Linked DNA regions of Danio rerio. The main gene of each other region encodes a partner of the protein of the gene in region 2 in a complex. Links are inferred from orthologs where the notes say so. Each region holds a gene or a part of one and is shown on either strand. Other genes may lie near its edges. The genes, in order: pigp, pigc and pigh.

Region 1 (6,075 bases), on a different chromosome or scaffold from region 2:
AAAAGATTTGCATCTCGATGGGGGTAAAGGTGTTTTTACATTCGCAGAGAGCATTCTCAGCCCATACGACATAGAGAAATCACATTGTCAGCCAAATGACTGTCGAAGTACATCAGAGGTGCTCAACCCTGCTCCTGGACATCTGCCTTCCTGCACACTTCAGCTCCAGCCCTGATCAAACTCACCTGAGCAGCACTGCATAACTACAGGCAGGTGTGTTTAATATGGGTTGGAGCTGAATGCTGTAGGTAGGTGGATCTCCAGGAGCAGGGCTGAGCCTGAAGTACAACAGTTCAGTCAATTAAACAGTGCTAATGTTCAGTTCCACACCCAATATTCACAGTAGCGCGGTGAACAACATATGGAGAGGGTCACAGATTGTCACAAGAGTTCAGGAATGAGTGGATGTGTCTAACATTATATAAACCTAGTAAACACCAACTGCACAGTTTTACAGCAAACATCAGAGCAGCCTCGCTTCCCATGATGCACCTCGGGGAGACACACCTGACCCAGAGGCTTCCATTGCAAAACCACGAGCTGTTTACTGTCTAAACTGACACAAACCTGGCCAAACCTCTCCTCAAACCCGAGCTGTGCCGTGGTAAAGCTGAGGTAAACTCTCCTGCTCGCTTTATCCGCAGCTTCGCCTCAGGAGTTCAGCTTTTCTCCTTCAGCTCGTGTTTTTCTGCCTCTAAAAGGCGCCAAACTCGTCATTTCTCCGCCATTATTGAGCGTTTAATCTCTTCTCCTCTAAAGATCAGCTCGCACATCTGTAATTATCGCACTGAAAGGCGCAAACTTTACCAGGAAGTTGAACGCGACGCATTCTGGGCTGGCAGACGCTTTACCTGTGTTGATGACACGCGGGGCGTCGCGGAAGTAAGAACACGCGCTGCCGCAGCTAACCGTCCATCAGTCGTGAATATTCGGGGAGAAATGTTTATAAACTGACCTGATTCAGAAGAGCAGCTCCACTGTTTCCTGATGTTTAACCTCACGCATCAACTGCAGCGCGAAACTGACGCGGAGTAAGAAGCGCGCCCTCTGCTGTTCGCCCGCGCGAGTGGCATCAGCGCGCCCTCTGCTGTTCACCACTAGAAGGGATACAGGTGTTGTCCGAAGTAACAACTTGTTTTTACTTTATTTTAAATTAGCCATTAATTGTATTTGAGTTAATTGCACATTGTATTGACGTCTACCTACCCCAACCCCAAACCTCACAGCAATGGATTAACAGAAATTATACCGAATATCACTCATATTATTTATTAAAATGCTCATTAAACTGTATTGTATTACTACAACCCTCACAGTAATGTAAAAACAGTAATTATACAGAGTATTATTCATATTATTTATTAAATTACCCATTAAACTGTATTTAATTATCTTCTACCCTCACAGTAATGTACAATAATCAATATTGTTGTAGTGTCGTATAGATTGTGCTATACTAATGTGAGAATCCGCAGCTGTATCCCTTCTAGACGGAGTGACGTCAGCGCGCCCTCTGCTGTTCGGCCGCGGACACCAACGTTTGTCTTAAAGGCACAGCTCACCCAGTCATTTTAATTCTGTTGTCATTTACTGCCTTCTTTAGTTGTTTTACTTGAACACTTATACGCTTCATTTTAACTGCTGAACACAACAAATATTTAACATGTACGGTAAAGTACATGCTCTTAATCTGTCATAAACACACAGAATATCAGACCGAGCTAATACACGCAGATATTAGTGAATGAAGGAGAGAGAGCGTCTTCAAAATCAACATTATTTTTTACAAACAATATTTATATGGAAAATAAAAATCAGAGCATTAAACCAAATAATAGGTGCGCGCGCGTTTGTTTGTCTCCAGGCCGCGCGGGGGCGGCAGGACGCAGTGCGCCTGCGCAGAAACACAAGGAAGCACCATCAGGAAATAAGACATGTATGTTCTGTTTTTCGTTTTATATGTTATAGTATTTATCGAAACTAAAGCGTGTGTGATGTGTTAGTTTGGAGCATTGATGTGTGTGTGTGTGTGCGCGCGCAGGTGTCGCTGCTGGAGATGGTGATGGTGGAGAACTCTCCTTCTCCTCTGCCGGAAAGAGCCATCTACGGCTTTGTGCTGTTCCTGGGCGCTCAGCTGGGCTTCTGTACGTCTCTAACTCGATCTGTACTGATATTGCACACACATTAGCCGCATTTCCACTATCGGGCCAGTGCGAGCCAGGGCTTTAATCGGGCCGGGGCGGGCCAACAGCCCGGGAGGTTGAGAAATGAGGCTGAAATCATGTCGCGTTTCCACTGTCGGGCTAAAGCTCACAGCGCGTCACGCAAACACCGCCCACAGAACGTCCCCGAATCAAACGTCACACAACCCGCCCACTTCAGCGAGAATCAGGCAGATAAAGCACACCATAAATCATCACGAAACGAAACCATTAAAATGAAGACAACCGAAACAAACAAACGACACGTTACTGTACAGCAGTACATGACATGTCTATACGCACAGACCTGTGTATTTCCATTCATTACATTTGTTTACTCGCCGACCGACTGCATTGTGCATGGAGTGCTCTCGCCACTAACGCAGGGACCCAACACAGAGAGCGCACACATCCATAATATAAAGCCACAGAAATTCTCCTTTATAACTCAATATGTCATGTATTTTTTAACATCCTCTTGTTGATAGAAGTCGTGTTAAGTTTTCAGCACAAGAGCGAGTAGCCTAATAAAATATAGCCATATTTGTTGCGCTCGGCAGCTATTCACTAAAACTCCTCATTTAAAGTTTCATTTATAAATTTAACCACGTCAAATAAAAACATAAACAGTTGTTTGAGGATATAGAACACATTTTGTGTTTGGACTTCCCCCATATGCGTTTAAAGCAGCGAGTGCTGCGCAGGACTGAGTGACAGAAAAAAAGGTATAGGAGATTCTGCTTTCACTCACTCAAATAATGCTCTGTTTGCGCGATTTGATTAATATCATCGTATCCAAATACTTTATAAATATTTACTTATATAAATATTTACTTTATATAAATATTTCAAACCTTCTCCGGTGTTTATTGTTTTTAAAAAATATCGAAAATCTTTTTTTTTTTCAGACAGGTCTTTGCAAAATGAAAGTTAGGCTATATGTGGCTTTAAAACGGTTTGATTTATGTATTGTATATAGGCTACCTACATTGTTATAGTTAGCTTTTGTTTATTTTATATTGGTTAATTTATTTAATGTGATTATATATCCGATATTTGTAATTCTTTAAATTATATTTCAATATACCTTAGGCTATTTTATCAAGATATGACAATATATTGTTTAAAGTCTACGAAAGTGGGCACGTATTTTGTTAAGTTTATGTCTTTCTGTTGTATTTATATGTGTATTATCTCCAAAATAAATAAAGAAAAAAGCCGCTCGCGGCATAACAGAGCTGTGAAGGAGCGCTTTTGCCCGGTCTCACACACACATACAGGCATCTAAACGTGCACAAACAAACAAACATTTTAAACTTGACAAAAACTCTCGAAAACTTTTACTGTCTGCTGTGTTTTTAATATGGTGTAAAGATTATTATGCGTTGAAACATAAAGGAGGACGCAGCAAAGAACGTCACTATAAATTAAAACAACTTTATTATTTTATGCAGGAGCCTTACATTTAAAAGGGAAACATAAGGGTGATCATACGCAAAAAGACCCCAGACTATAAGGCTAGATGTTTTCTTTCCCTTATTTCTTTATTTGTTTGGCGCATGTACTCATGTGCGATCAGAAAACTGTCCGCCTCTTCTTTCACTCCGCCCCGAAGCCCCAGCTGGCCCTCCTTGGCCCAAGGTATTCGGCGGGCCGAAAAAGGCCGGCCGCTGGCCCCAAGAAAGCCCCGCTTTGGCCCGATTAGGCCCCGGAAGTGACAGTGGAAACCCCACTGGCCTTGGCTCGCCCTGGCTCGCTCGCTTTAGGCGCGATAGTGGAAACGCGGCTATTGTCCTTTACAGATGAAGAGAGGCTTTAATCCTGTGGCAGAAACATCAACAGAATCTACAGACTGACAGCAGTGTCTCACACACACACACACACACACACACACACACACACACACTAGAGTACAGGGCATTATACTGTCTGTATGTTTAGCTATGATGCTGAATGCTGACTGTAGTAAGAAGTACTGTAGTACACTTCAGTTTACTCAGGTAAAGTGTGGTGTATTGTGCTCTAAAGTTGTAGAAGAATACAGTTCTGACTCATAGATTACTGTAGCTGTTGTGGTACCATAGCAACCGTAGAATCACCACAACTGATCAATTACTGTAGTTTTGTTACCATAGCAACCGTAGAATCACCACAACTGATCAATTACTGTAGTTTTGTTACCATAGCAACCGTGGAATCACCACAACTGATCAATTACTGTAGATTTGTTACCATAGCAACTGTAGAATCACCACAACTGATCAATTGCTGTAGTTTTGTTACCATAGCAACTGCAGAACCACAACAGATCAATTACTGTAGATGTGTTACCATAGCAACTGTAAAATCACCACAGCAGATCAATTATTATAATTGTCATGTTACCATAGCGACTGTAGAATCACCACAGCAGATCAATTTCAGGACTTGACTCAGTCGCTGAAACACTACAGTGTTCACTATAAATGACTTGAGCATTATTTATTTGTTCTGGACTCATAATTGATATCTGAATAAACATGCAGCATGACAGAAAACAGTACTTCTGCTTGACAAACACCTCTATCTTGAAGACATTGCAGCTGCTGGTGTGTTCTTCATCTGTGGTGTTGTGTGTGTTTGTTTGTGTGTGTGTTTGTGTTCTCCATCAGTGCTGTATGTGGTCTGGGCGTTTGTTCCTGACTCTTGGCTCCATGCAGCCGGACTGACCTACTGGCCGCAGAAGTGAGTGGTCTGTCTGTCGTCTGCTCTTCAGATGCTGATGTTTAATGTCTGATCAATCACTCTTTCTCTCTCTCCGTCTGTCTGTCGTCAGATACTGGGCTCTGGCGGGCCCCATATACCTGCTGGTGGCCCTGAGCACCTGTTTCGTGCTACTGTTCGGAGTGAATATGATGAACACGGCTCCGCTGGCCTCAGTGGACAACATCACAGGTGAGAATTCAGACTAACACCACATGAGCCATTAGTGTTTGAGCTGCTGAAGATCATGTCAGCGGAGACTCAGAGCATTATAGATGTGCAGTTCTAGATGAACAGAGACAGGAGCCACAGACTGCAGACACACTCACACTGATGCATACACAACACACACACTGACGCATAGCCGTCTGTAGCTCCGCCCTCTTCTAAAAAGAGCTCAACCTCATTTGCATTTAAAGCGACAGTCACCAAAACACCACAATGAGGATCACAGCCTGAAAGAGTCAGTTTCAGAGAGCTGGAGGACATCAACTGTGTACTGTTCTCAGCTCAAACACACACACACACACACACACACACACACACACACACACACACAAGAGAGAGACACAGCAGAGACGCATTTACAGCTTGTAGAAAGGGGCAGAATAAGTCTCCTTTAATGAGTTAACAGTCTCAACCCCTATGATGAATGGCAGATTAGCAGATTCTGACATTACTCCTCCACATCTGGACACTTGATCTTCACTAAAGTCTCTTGAACCGTCACAGACACTTTCCTAATGTGCTGTCAGCGAATCTGAAGTCTCTTCTGTCAGTCTAATTCACCAGAACTGAACTCTCATGACTGGATGAATGATTCTGTTCTCATTAGACAGTGTTAAATCACACACACACACACACACACACACACACACACACACACACACACACACGTAACGCTGGTTTGTGTGCTGCTCCAGATGCGTATGGCAGGAGTCAGCGGGTGGACGAGGACCAGCCGGGAGCGATCCCCAGACTCCGAGACGTGTCGGTCAGTGAAATGAGCCGGCTGTTTTACCTGTGAGCCGCCTCTGTCATCAGCGCTGGAGAGGCGTTTGCAGAGGCGTCTCAGGTGAGCAGATCCATCAGGTGTGTGTGACGGCCTGAACTCCGGCTTCCAGATGACCCC
Region 2 (6,412 bases):
TTAAATTTATATCACGGTTTGAAAAAGTCAAGGTTTTAAAACTGATAAAATTTTCTGCCATCCTACGGTATTAGTCTGAGCCGATAAACAATATTATATTGAATCACAATCAAATTTATGTCTGTAACAATGATAAGCAATGCACTTTTAACTCTATAATAATCTAGGAGCCAATCACACAGCAGAAAAGTGCCACAATGGGAATCTAAAAGTGTGTGATATTAGAGATGGACCGAATCTTTGGCCACTGAAAATTTTTTGGCCGAAAATATGTTATGCTGTTTAATCGGATCCTCTAATTTTTGTGACTTCAGTCCTTGTTGGGATACTCTTTTAAAATCTTAAAGCATTAACAACTTAAAAATATATTGTTATCGTTCAATATGGAAAATGATTTTCGAGATGACATTTTTGCCATATCGCTCAGCTCTACAAAGGTATGTGTAAGATTTTTTATTTGCATTTTTTTTTTGTTTGTTTTGTTTTTAGGACAACAGTATCTCCATCTCTCATACATAGATGCTGTTTTTAATTGTGAAGAAGTCTGTTGTTGAAACTAATGAAGACAGCAAAAGTCAATGATTGACTTGAATTATTCAGCCCGTCATGTTTACTGCTCCAAAATATTGTAAATGTTTCTCAAATGAAAATATATTGTGTTCAAATGGGAAAAAAGTTCTTGTTTTTTACCCAGACATTTAAAAAGAACAGATTTTAGAGCATTGAGCAGAATACCATGAAACAGTAAAACTGTGCTATTTATATCCAAGGTTATTACACCGTCAGAATCTTATACCGGCCCATGCCTACAAGTAAGTTGATTTATTTAAGTATGGTAAAAAAAAATGATTTCTCTCTCTCTCTGGTCTATTTCTGTGTTTCTACAACAACACTTTTCCTCTGAGAGTGTCTGTCCTCTAGGATCTGCTGCTCTTTCTGCTCTGCTCTGTGCTTTTCTGTTTGTCTATTGGTCAGACTGTTTTGTGCTTCCAATGTAATAGTGGCTTCATCATAGTTGCTCAAGTTAGTTCATAGCCTTTAACTTGATCTGACTCTCATTCATTCATTCATTCATTCATTCATTCATTCATTTTCTTTTCAGCTCAGTCCCTTTATGAATTTGGGGTCACCACAGCAGAATGAACCACCAACTTATTCAGGATATGTTCTATGCAGCAGATGCCCTTCCAGCTGCAACCCATCACTGGGAAACATCCATACATACTCATTCACACACATATGGACAATTTAGCTTAGCTAATTCACCTGTACTGCTGTAACCCATGCAAACACGGGGAGAACATGCAAGAAATGCCAATTGGACCATATGGCTTGAACCAGCTACCTTCTTACTGTGAGGTGAACGTGCTACCCACTACGCCACTGTGCAGCCCTTGATCTGACTCTGCACAATTATAAAATATAGAAACAATTATTATTACTATTATTATTATTATTGACTTAATATAAAGGATGATATATATATATATTACATTATTTTAGTTACTGATCTTTTCTCGTTGAATTTCTGATCTCATATCACCACCTTCTGGCCAATATCTAGAACTACATGTTGATTGTGAATAGGTTTGATGCTTTTTTTTTTTACATCTGAATGAATGAATCTTAGCTTGGTGTTTCTATACGTTCGTTGATGGACTTTTATTACAACTGTATGAAATAAATCCTTCATTTTAAAGCCAATAAGCTGTTTTACTCAGTATTAAAGTGCTAAACTAAAAATAATTCAATAATAAATAAATAAATGTCTCTGTCAATTTTTTCAAACTACTGTATTTAATTTACCAAAGTCACACAAGTGGCAATTGTACATCTGTCACATCCATTATGGAGACATGTCACATCCAAAACGACACTTTTTCCTCATGAATGAAAAAAAATAATTGTAGAATAAAATAAAATCAATCACATTTGAGGAGTCCGCTACAAATGAAAGAAGCCCTGTGTTATACAATATTGTTTGAGTCAAATTATTTTAAATACTCTAATACTGAAGTATTAGTGTAATATTAGTAACTAAAATGAATGAAAATAAATTGTTTGTGTGCAGACGGACTCCAAATATGATTATCCACTAATGAGGGTCAAACAAATGTAACAATAACTCAAATTACTAAACACTGTTTTTTTATTTAAATTTTAGTCATATGCTGTTACAAATTAATCAAGAGAGGATTACCCATAGACTATATAAATATTAAATGTATATGCATCTCACTTTTCACTCGTCGGCGGTTGTGAGGAACAGTCGTCAGGTGGCGCTCTTCAGTCAATACCACGGTTGCGCTTTTGTTTTTGTTTTTTGGTACGTCACTTCCGGATGTATGATGGCTTGACAGCTGCGGCTAAATACAGGAAACCCTGCTCATTCGGTAAGATTTTAGATTTATCTTGAACATTATTCTGTATAAGTTTGATATGAAATAATATATTTTGTCTGTATTTATACACTGTCGCCAGCTGGCTTACTGTATGACTGTATGATTGATTCATTCTGTATGAATCAGATTGACGTGAGAAGCTGTCAGTCAGATACCGCTTGACATTTAGGATAATAATAGATTGATTAAATGCACGTTTTACTTACACAAAGATAAACAATGCTGCTTAAAGTTTTGTGGTGTTTAATGTTTTTCTTTATATATAAACTATGAAGCAAATACATGATATGTGGAGAACAGGGTGTAGTTCACGCAAAAATCTAACTGGCCCCTCTAATTGGTTTTAAACCTTTATGAGTTTCTTTCTTCTGTCGAACATAAAGAAGATACTTTGATGAATGATGGATGCTGGGACCCATCTACTTACAAAGGCAAAGCAATTGCTATTGAAGTCAAAGGGTGCCAGGTATCAGCTAGACATGGCGTCACCTTATAAGGTTCTATTTGACATTTTTGTCAAAACTGAGTTATTGACATATTCTTACTAAATGACAACTTATTTACATTATGCGATGTTTTTTTATAAGTTGTTTACATTTTAAGATTTTTTATTTAAAAAACAAATGTTACACACATACTGTTTGCTATGCAATGCAAAAACTTTGAAGCTCAATATTTTAAAATCATTCAGAATGCAGATAAAACCTTATTATTCTAAGGTGACGATAGGCTGGTTTAAGATTGTGATGTATGATAACCTTGGATGAAAATATCACGGTATTGCTATTACTGCTCTAAAATAAATTCTTTTTAATCGTCTGGATAAACAACAAACTTTTTTCTACCTTTGAACACAATATATTTTATTTTGACAAACTTTTAAAAATATTTTGTAACAATAAACATGTCAGGCTAAATAATTTAAATCAATCTTTGACTTCCTCCCTCTTGATTAGCTTCAAAAACACTGATTTATTTATAATTTAAAAATGGCATTTTAGGATATCTTCTGCTGGAGATACTTATGTCCTAAAAACATAAAAACAAACAAACCTACATAAACCATTGGAACGGTATAGCAAAAAAAAAAAATTTAAAACCTTGATTTTTCCAAACCGTGGTATACCTTGAATACGGTTATCAACCCATACGTATTACCAGCATTCTTCAAAACATCTACTTTTGTGCTCAGCAGAAGAAAGAAACCCAAACAGGGTTTAAACAAGTGAAGGGGGAGTAAATGTTGACAATAAAAAAAAAATTAAGTGTACTTAAAGACCAATGAAAATTTCTCAGTTTCTCTGGATGTACTGAATTTACAAATTGTTTAAAATATTAATATAAAATATTGTTTTCTTATAACATTTATTCCAAATTTAAAATCTGAGTATTGTCATTTTAGAGCCCACCCCACCATTGTTGTGAACATTTTCCATTGTTGTGATTAACAACCTAGGTTATTAATATTGGTTTCTTATATTTGGTAATATTTTGGTAATATTCGGTAATATTGGTTTCTTAACTGGCCTAAAATTGAAATTGAAGAAAAAAAGAAAAGAAATTGAAAACACGGAGCAATCGCTCGCTTTTTTTAATGCTTAATAGTAATAATTCTGTTTAATCCCGCCCCTTTTCGCATCGCCATACGACAGAATTTTGCACACACAAACTCTAGTGTGACTGCAGCTTGAGCCCAAGGAAAATGAATGAATGCTCGTAATGCATTATGATTTATGCAAACTCACTGCATAGAAAATAATTTTCTGTGTACCTGAGTACCATTTGGAGTCCCATATGAGATTATTTTCACCATTGTATTGTAAAATGTTACTCTACCATGATGCCTGTTTGACAACAATGCAGAAAGTTATACAAGATCATCGCAGGATATCAGCAGTATTATTGGCTGGATTGCCTGTCAATCAAACTACCTGCAAAGGGTTAATTGCATCATCAAAGCAATAAAATAATAAATAAAAGAAAAACACTTGATCAATCAGTCGATCTAAATTAATGAAATCTTTCCAAATAGAAGTATTCGATTCATCTGGTGAAACTATATTCGTGTCACAAAACAGTGGGGGAAATAAGTATTCCACACATCACCTTTTCTTTTCAGAAAACATATTACTAAAGGCGCTGTTGACTTAAAATATTTCCCAGATGTTTAAAACAATCAAAAAAATCTAAGTATGCAAAGACAACAAATCTAATTATTTTACAAATAAAGTTATGTGTAATAAAAAAAATGAAGCAGGGAAAAAATATTAAACACATGAAGATAGAGAGGTGCAGAATGACAATAAAAGCCCAGACAGCAGCTGAAATCTCTCAGTAGTTCTTCAGCAACCCCCTTTTCTTCGCCATTGTAAATTAATATCAGCTGCTTCAGTCCAACATCTACATTAGCAGGATGATAAAAAGGAAACCATAGCGGAAATTTCAGCAAAACAATGATTCAAAACACAGCTAAGAAAAGAGAAAGAAAATCAAGCTGTAGAATGGCCCAGCCAATCACCTGACTTGAACCCAATAAAAAATACAAATTAAAGATCAGATTTGAAAGATGGGACTCACATAACCATTAAGATTTTTACACAGTGTTGAAGTCTCTGAAGAACTCACACCTTAGCAATTCATGTGACTTCATTCTCCATATGAGAGGCGTCTTTAAGCTGCCATCATCAAAAAAAGCTTTTTATATGAAGTATTTCAGTAGTTCAACACTTCTCCTTGTGTCATTCCATTGTTATTACACATCACTTATTTTTCAGATGTGTTTTATTTTATTCTATTTTAATATTTGTATTGTTTGAGTTTTTACCAAAATCAGGATCAATCTCATGTCAACAGCTCCTTTAGAAACATTATTCCTAGATAAAAACATGTCATGTTCAATAGAGAATTCCTAATGTGGCAGCAAAACTAAAAATGAGCAATGTCACATTTTTTCCCAATATCATGCATAGCTAATGTTCAGCCACTGTGTTCTCTGATTTGGACAGGCGATGGGAGCAGACAGCGGTCCAGGGGCTCCTTCGGCCGTCCCGTGGAGGAAAGTGCTCTATGAACGGCAGCCTTTCCCAGACAACTATGTGGACCGGCGTTTCCTGGAGGAGCTGCGGCGGAACATCCGCGTCCGCCAGTACCGCTACTGGGCTGTGGTTCGCGAGACAGGCCTTATCGCCCAGCAGGTGTCCTGCGTGGCCCTCTTTCTCACACTGTGGTCCTACATGGAGCAGGGTGAGCTGGAGCCGTCTGCCGTGTTATGCGTCTGCCTAGGCTGCGCTCTGTTTGGATACGGGCTCTATGAGGTCCTGGGAGGAGCCAGTGATGGCAAACGGACGCGTCTTGCGGACCTGCAGAGCGCTGCTGTCTTCCTAGCATTTACTTTTGGGTTTTCACCAGTTTTAAAGACTCTGACCGAGTCGGTCAGCACTGATACCGTGTACGCCATGTCGGCAGTTATGCTCCTGGCTCATCTGGTGTCTTTCCCGTATGCTCAGCCCAGTCCGCCGGGAAGTCTTTCTCTAAATGCAGCTCTGTTCGGGTCGGTGTGTCTAGCATCCCGTCTGCCCGGAGCCCTGCACACCTTCACCATGCTGACCTGCGCGCTGCTGGTGTTCGCGCTCTGGCCCTGCCTGCTGCACCGGGTGCGGGAGAAGGCGGACTGGAGCTTCCCCTGGGCGGCGCTGCTGGTGTGTTTGGCCGGCGTCAGGGGTTTGGGAAGCCTTTGGCCCGAGGGAGCTCTTCTTCTCTCAGTGGCTCTGTTAATGTTGACTCTACTCTGTCCACTGCTGCTGGTTCATCTGCAGAGGCACAAGGACAACATTCACGGCCCCTGGGATGAGGCTGAGATCAGAGAGGATCTGTCCCGCTTCCTCAATTAAAACAGGGCTTCAAGACTTTGAGAGTCTTTTCTTAAAAGGACGGATCGCTAAAAGTGAATATTAATTCAACATTTATTCGTTGTATGAGACTTTTTTTTCTTAATGTGGAACTTAAGAGAA
Region 3 (6,141 bases), about 15 Mb from region 2:
AAAAATTTATTACACACGTGGTCCCGTTTCACTATGGGTTCAGAATATGAACATAATTCATCAATCAATCCTTTTAATAGTCACATCTTGTGTTTTTGGGAATGCACCAAGATTTATCTGGTTGATCCACTTGCTGGGATGCACAATATATCATTTCAGCATTAATATCGCAATGTGTACATTTGCAATTGTCTCATCGCAGGATCTACAATGTTGAGTCTGTATTATGGTTGACCAGCACCCCGAATTTTATTGTTTAATCATAAGAAATTTATTGTTTATTATTTCCAGGTGTTTTTAAGGCATTTCTAAAAAAGGGTTTTAAACAGGGTTTCTTCAAGTCAAACTTAAGACTTTTTAAGACCCTTTCAAAAGCATATGAGTGAAATTTTAGACTGATACAGCTCTAAACACTAAGAATTTTGAATGGCCCGGTTACTTCTGTAAATAGTTTTTGTATTAATGGAAGATCATGTAAAAGGATGCGTTGCTTTAGTTTTCTTTCCCTGATTAGGGAATTTAATTAGCTGTAAAAATGTCTAACAGCTTATGTGACATGTATCTTTTTAAATAATAAAAATAATAACAATAAAAAAAACTAAATATGAACCAAAAAATTAAGACTGATTATTGGTGATTGGGTGTCAGCCCGATAGGGTAGCTTTAAATGGAAATAGTAAAATAAGACCTGTGTAAAATGATTTAAGACTCGCAGCACAATATTGCAGTGAATTTCAAACTTAAGGCCTAAAATTTTGTTTTTTGAAATTTAAGACACTTTATTACTTTGTAAGACCTCGGGGACACCCTGTTAAAAGCATTTAAGCAATTATGTCTGTAGCTTTAACAAAGATTACTTGTATTTAAATATTTATACCATACAGTAATTGTTTCAGTGTCATATTTATTTCTGTATTGTTAGTCTCACCAGTGAACCATAGACCATTGTATTTTCTGTTGTACTTATTTTTTCTTGTGATTTGTTATATTTGATCCAAATGTGCTCCCCTAAAATGGAAAATAATAATAATAATAATAACAATAATCACCCTAATCAATCTAAAATAATGAATTATTTCTGAATAGATCTATTCAAGTCTTCATATTAAAATATATATTGAAAATATTCCGTTGTCAGTTTTTTTTAACAAAATTATGCAAAACAAGTGTGAACACATCCTAAAAAACTAAATGGCTAATCATTAAATAATGTTTTAAATGAGGCAAGAATACTGTTATGTACAAACGTTTTTGAATGCGAAGCCTATCTAAAAACTTCTGCATGTAACAAAATGCATTGTGTATTACTGACAATACAAAAAAGCTACCAACAATGTGCTTATGATTCGTTCTGGAGTTTTCCAATCTTCATTCATCTTCAAAGAAAGCCTCTGCTGATCGAAAAACATGGAGTCATAAAGCATATATAGACACAGAACTATGTCAGTCATGTAAAACATGCAGAATATCTAGCAAAACATGAAGCATTACCTCTGCGTCATCTGCTCTGTGCTAGAATTTCTTGACAGCTCTTGTACACTTGAATCAAACAATTGAGCCGAGGCTTTGAACTCTGGAGGAAGAACCAAAGGTGTTCATTTACATACTGAGATGTCACAAATTCCTATAATCTTGCTTTTGCGAATGAATAACAACAGCTGTTTTGAACCTGGAAGAGAGGAACAACACTGGTCACCGTCTCAGGATCTGCTGGGTCCTTGATGAGAATGCACAGATAGTATATGATGTTGTGCTGAGGAGCAAAAACACAAACACTGATTATTTTTACATCTCGATATCTATCATGCGTGAAGGTCACTGTGTGTTTACCATATAAACAGCCTCATTTATGACGATGTCTTTCAGCTTGCTCATCTCAATGAAAGTCGTGCTTTCTCGTCCAGAGGCGTAAGACGAGGACAATTGGACACCCAGAGAGCCTATTATGAGAAGGGTCTCATGGTCCACCTTCACAAAGTGAATATGAATCACCATCCCAACTAAAGTGAGGATGATGGCACTTGACAGAACCGCCGTGTTCTGAATATTAAACAGAAGGAGAATTATATTAGATCAATAAGAGCAATTAGGTTAGATTTATATTGAACATTTGCTTGACATTCACGAAAATATTTCATATATTCTATTATAATATCAAACTTTCAATCGCAGCCATGTTGGAAATTCCTGAATAAGTTCTTCTTGCTTAGTACTAAGTGGAATTTTGAGATATATACTAGGGCTGTATGATATTGGGAAAAAGCTGATATTGCAGTATTTAGTTTTTTGTCAATACACATTGAGATTCTGTAAATAAATTCACCAGATGAAATGAATAGCTCTATTTGGAAAGAATTTACATAATTTTACATTGATTATGATGATTTTGTGGAGTGTATCTGCATCAAATTTAATAAATCAATCAAAAGTATTGATAAAAACAGTAGAGCAAAGCGATGAATGAAAACAACAACCTTCTAGCAGTATTCGGGTACTCAAATTGAGTAATCAAATGTAAAATAGTTTTCATTATTTCATTATGCATGAATGCTTTACATGCTTACACAATCACAGGCCTTAAAAACACAAACATGATTAATTTGGGTTCCTGTTCGACTATAATCCTGCCAAATGAAATGGTTACTGAGTGTATTGGATTTAGAGGGATACGACTTTATTGAACCAACATATTCTGTATTTTGGTTTTATCTTCTTTAAAATTGCATATTGTGATGGGTAAAGAAAGCATTTTTTATGGTTTGGCTCATGTGATAAAATCACTGAATACAGTTGAAGACCACATGATCAGCCTTACTGTAAAATCCTTTTTCTTAGAATAATTGCCGATGGATATTTTAACAGAGCAAGGAAAATATTTACAGTATTTCCAAATATACTTTTCATTTACACTTTTTAGAAGCTTTTTTTTTTCAGAGAAACTATATATTGTTTTCTTATTTTGATCTCCAAATACAGCCTCATGCACAATCAAATGTTTTAACCTGCACTCAGCAGCTGTAATAAATGCACTATAAATGACAACGTAAACTACTTCTGTTTCCTCACTATATGGACGTACATTTTAAATATGTATTTTTTTTCCCTTAAGAAATATTAAATATTGGCTACAGATCAAACCACTGTTGTCCAATGATTTGACCTAGTTAACCCTAAATAACCCAGTTAAGCCTTTAAATTGCATTTTTAGATTAATATTACTAGTATTTTGCAAAATAAATTGTAAAATATTATTTAATTTCATTATGGCAAAAAACAAAATAATTATGTTATCATTAAATTCTTTTTTTAAATAAAATCTTCTCTAAACGTTAAAGAAAACTTGGGAAAATAACTTAGTAAAAAAAAGTTCAATTTCAAAGGAGGGCTAATAAATTTGTTTTCAACTGTATAATAGACGTTTTCGCGCAATGTCAAATCAAAGTCCAATAAACAGTCATTTTTTGTCTAATAAACAGCAAAAGACGCCAAGGCCTTCATAGTCCGCATGATAAAATGTTCTTACCTGGGTGAAGAAGAACACAGCATAAGCAAATAACCACACACAGCAGGTGTACACCATCACCTTGCGCAAGGACAGTTTGGGTGAGGTAACAGTAAACTCTCTGCAGAAAGAAGAGTGCGTTTGGCAGTCTAAAGAAATCCAGTTGCCATTTATGTCTGTGAACTCTTCGTCGGCCATCTCGATCACTGCTGGTTATTTCGCGGTCGGAAAATTACATTAATAAAGACTTCAGAATAAATAGTTTTGCTTAGATTATTATTTTTCCACCAACAGTAAAACCATCTTCTTCTTATGATAATGTGACGTTGGCAAAATAACATACAGGTGCGTTTTCGCCATCTACTGGACTGGGGTTGAAAACTCCCATTCTGGACCACAAAACCAGTTGCACAAAAATATTTAGCTCTCGCTCCAGTGAAAACAAGTACACTGTAAAGTACATTGTAAAAGCCTAAATGATCTTTTTCATTAAGTTATTTACTGAGCTATGTTTCACAAAAATATATTTTTTTAAATAAATACAAGTAAATAATAAAATTTTTGATTAGTAATATTTGCACCTCCAGGTTGGAGGAAAGTTCTTACCCCAGGTAGAGGAGTTTAAGTTTCTTGGGGTTTTGTTCACGAGTGAGGGAAGGATGGAAAGTGATATTGACAGGTGGATTGATGCAACGTCATCAGTAATGCAGTCGATGTACCGGTCCGTTGTGGTAAAGAAGGAGCTGAGCCGAAAGGTAAAGCTCTCGATTTACCGGTCAATCTACGTTCCTACTCTCACCAGTGGTCATGAGATTTGGGTCATGACGGAAAGGAAAAGATCTCATATACAAGAGGCCAAAATTAGTTTCCTTTGAAGGGTGGCAGGGTGCACTCTTATGGATAGGGTGAGGAGCTCTGACACCCGGGAGGAGCTCAGAGTAGAGCCGCTGCTTGTCCACATCGAGAGAAGTCAGCTGAGAAGTCTGCCTCCTGGACGTCTACCTTGGGAGGTGTTCCAGGCATGTCCCACCAGGAGGAGGCCTCGGGGAAGACCCAGGACGGCTCTCGGCTGGCCTGGGAACAGCAGGATACCCCCGGAGTGCCATGTGAAATACGCTAACTGTTTTGATGTTATTAGATTATGCAGTAAGACTATATTAACTTGAGTAACAATTAAAATGTTAAGTATTTTATTTTATTTATATTTTAGTGTCTTTGTCACCAGCAATGTGAAGGTAATAATCGACCAAATAAATGTAGCCTACAATAAAAAAACTGCCTAGTACATTCCCATAAATTGTATTCTACCACCATTTTGTTTTTGAAATATTTTTCAGATGACCTCTCCCCATTGCATTATCGATTCTTTAGGAAATGTATGAGATCTGACTGCATTTCCCATCAGCCCCTGCGGTCGGTAACCTTTGACTCCCGCTCCAGTGAAAACAAGCCGATCAGCTGATCTGACCTGGCAACAACATTCACCCGAATCTACCGGGGAGGGGAATCATTTTACAAGCTGGTGGGCAAAAACAGTTATCTTCACATCAACCGGCTTATTGTTTTTGTGTTTATGACAGAGTCGTTGTCGTGTGCGATGTTTGAGGGAATTCAGCAGCTCGTTTGTTGAAAACTGCGGTGTGATTCTGGCTCGAAATCAGCTTGTTTTGTTCGGTCAAAGCTCTGTTGATCAGTGTGTGTTGTTGGGTGAACATACTTTAAGGACTGTACGATACTAAACCATTATTAATTCAGATACAGAAGTCATATTTTCTAACCCCACTAGTATTTAGTCTTTGAAACTAGAGGAGACAGCCCAGTCACGTATGCTAATCGTAGCTAGCTTGAGTAACAAAAGCCCAGGGCGATAACAACACTCGAATGTAGCTGTTTTCTCAGTGTTTATGTCTGCCAATACAAACATTTCGATACTTATGGCTTGTAGATTGTCAGTTTAGACCGCTTGAACACTTTTAAATCAATTAGAAAGCTCGACAATCTGTCCTAGTGCCAGTGCTACACGGATGTCAACTGATCTATTTATAGTTCATATTGAATATTTGATTTTAAGCCAGTGTCATAATTTGACATCACATTTTGAATTCCAATGAAATTCACAGCAGACGAGTGAGATATATTGTTTAGGACGCTAAATGCATTATCTATGAGGTATTATATAGCGTGTCAGTAGTTGATTGTACATTTAGGTTGCTCTCTGCTGTAGTTGAGTAACTTTCAGAGAAATTTCCGTTCAAGTTCGTTCGCTTCCGTTACCTCGCTATTATATTTGGACGTATAATGAGCGGCCAGGGCTCGTCGGCGGAGAAGGGGCTGAACGGCGTTCTGGTTTGTCAGGAGAGCTACGCCTGCGGTGGCACGGACGAGGCCGCCTTCGAGTGCGACGAATGCGGCAGCCTGCAGTGCATCCGCTGCGAGCTGGAGCTCCACCGTCAGGACCGCATGAGGAACCACGACAGGATCCGAATCGCTCCTGGCCACGTACCCTACTGCGATTCGTGTAAAGGTGATGGAGGGGTGCCGAACGGGGGTCGGCTGAGAGCAGTGGTTCGATGTCAAGGGTGCAAAATCAACCTGTGCTTGGACTGTCAAAAACGGACTCACAGCGGGGTCAGTAAAAG

Evidence for each region.
Region 1: pigc (region 2) and pigp share a complex: the UniProt entries of both Homo sapiens proteins name them as parts of the glycosylphosphatidylinositol-N-acetylglucosaminyltransferase (GPI-GnT) complex. The link is inferred for Danio rerio from reciprocal best matches to the Homo sapiens genes PIGC and PIGP.
Region 3: pigc (region 2) and pigh share a complex: the UniProt entries of both Homo sapiens proteins name them as parts of the glycosylphosphatidylinositol-N-acetylglucosaminyltransferase (GPI-GnT) complex. The link is inferred for Danio rerio from reciprocal best matches to the Homo sapiens genes PIGC and PIGH.

Annotation. Positions count from the first base shown.
Region 1 is NC_133185.1:415,998-422,072, forward strand, and holds the start of pigp (phosphatidylinositol N-acetylglucosaminyltransferase subunit P), read left to right. Parts: upstream 1-1,894; 5' UTR 1,895-1,936; intron 1,937-2,041; 5' UTR 2,042-2,056; coding exon 2,057-2,144; intron 2,145-4,852; coding exon 4,853-4,925; intron 4,926-5,016; coding exon 5,017-5,135; intron 5,136-5,866; coding exon 5,867-5,970; 3' UTR 5,971-6,075. UniProt on the Homo sapiens protein: Part of the glycosylphosphatidylinositol-N-acetylglucosaminyltransferase (GPI-GnT) complex that catalyzes the transfer of N-acetylglucosamine from UDP-N-acetylglucosamine to phosphatidylinositol and participates in the first step of GPI biosynthesis.
Region 2 is NC_133195.1:16,064,098-16,070,509, forward strand, and holds the start of pigc (phosphatidylinositol N-acetylglucosaminyltransferase subunit C), read left to right. Parts: upstream 1-2,375; 5' UTR 2,376-2,393; intron 2,394-5,407; 5' UTR 5,408-5,410; coding exon 5,411-6,292; 3' UTR 6,293-6,412. UniProt on the Homo sapiens protein: Part of the glycosylphosphatidylinositol-N-acetylglucosaminyltransferase (GPI-GnT) complex that catalyzes the transfer of N-acetylglucosamine from UDP-N-acetylglucosamine to phosphatidylinositol and participates in the first step of GPI biosynthesis.
Region 3 is NC_133195.1:31,130,506-31,136,646, forward strand, and holds pigh (phosphatidylinositol N-acetylglucosaminyltransferase subunit H), read right to left. Parts: upstream 3,819-6,141; 5' UTR 3,701-3,818; coding exon 3,524-3,700; intron 2,041-3,523; coding exon 1,831-2,040; intron 1,754-1,830; coding exon 1,670-1,753; intron 1,574-1,669; coding exon 1,499-1,573; 3' UTR 1,492-1,498; intron 1,395-1,491; 3' UTR 980-1,394; downstream 1-979. Other genes in the region: zfyve1 (zinc finger FYVE domain-containing protein 1), read left to right, coding at 5,801-6,141. UniProt on the Homo sapiens protein: Part of the glycosylphosphatidylinositol-N-acetylglucosaminyltransferase (GPI-GnT) complex that catalyzes the transfer of N-acetylglucosamine from UDP-N-acetylglucosamine to phosphatidylinositol and participates in the first step of GPI biosynthesis.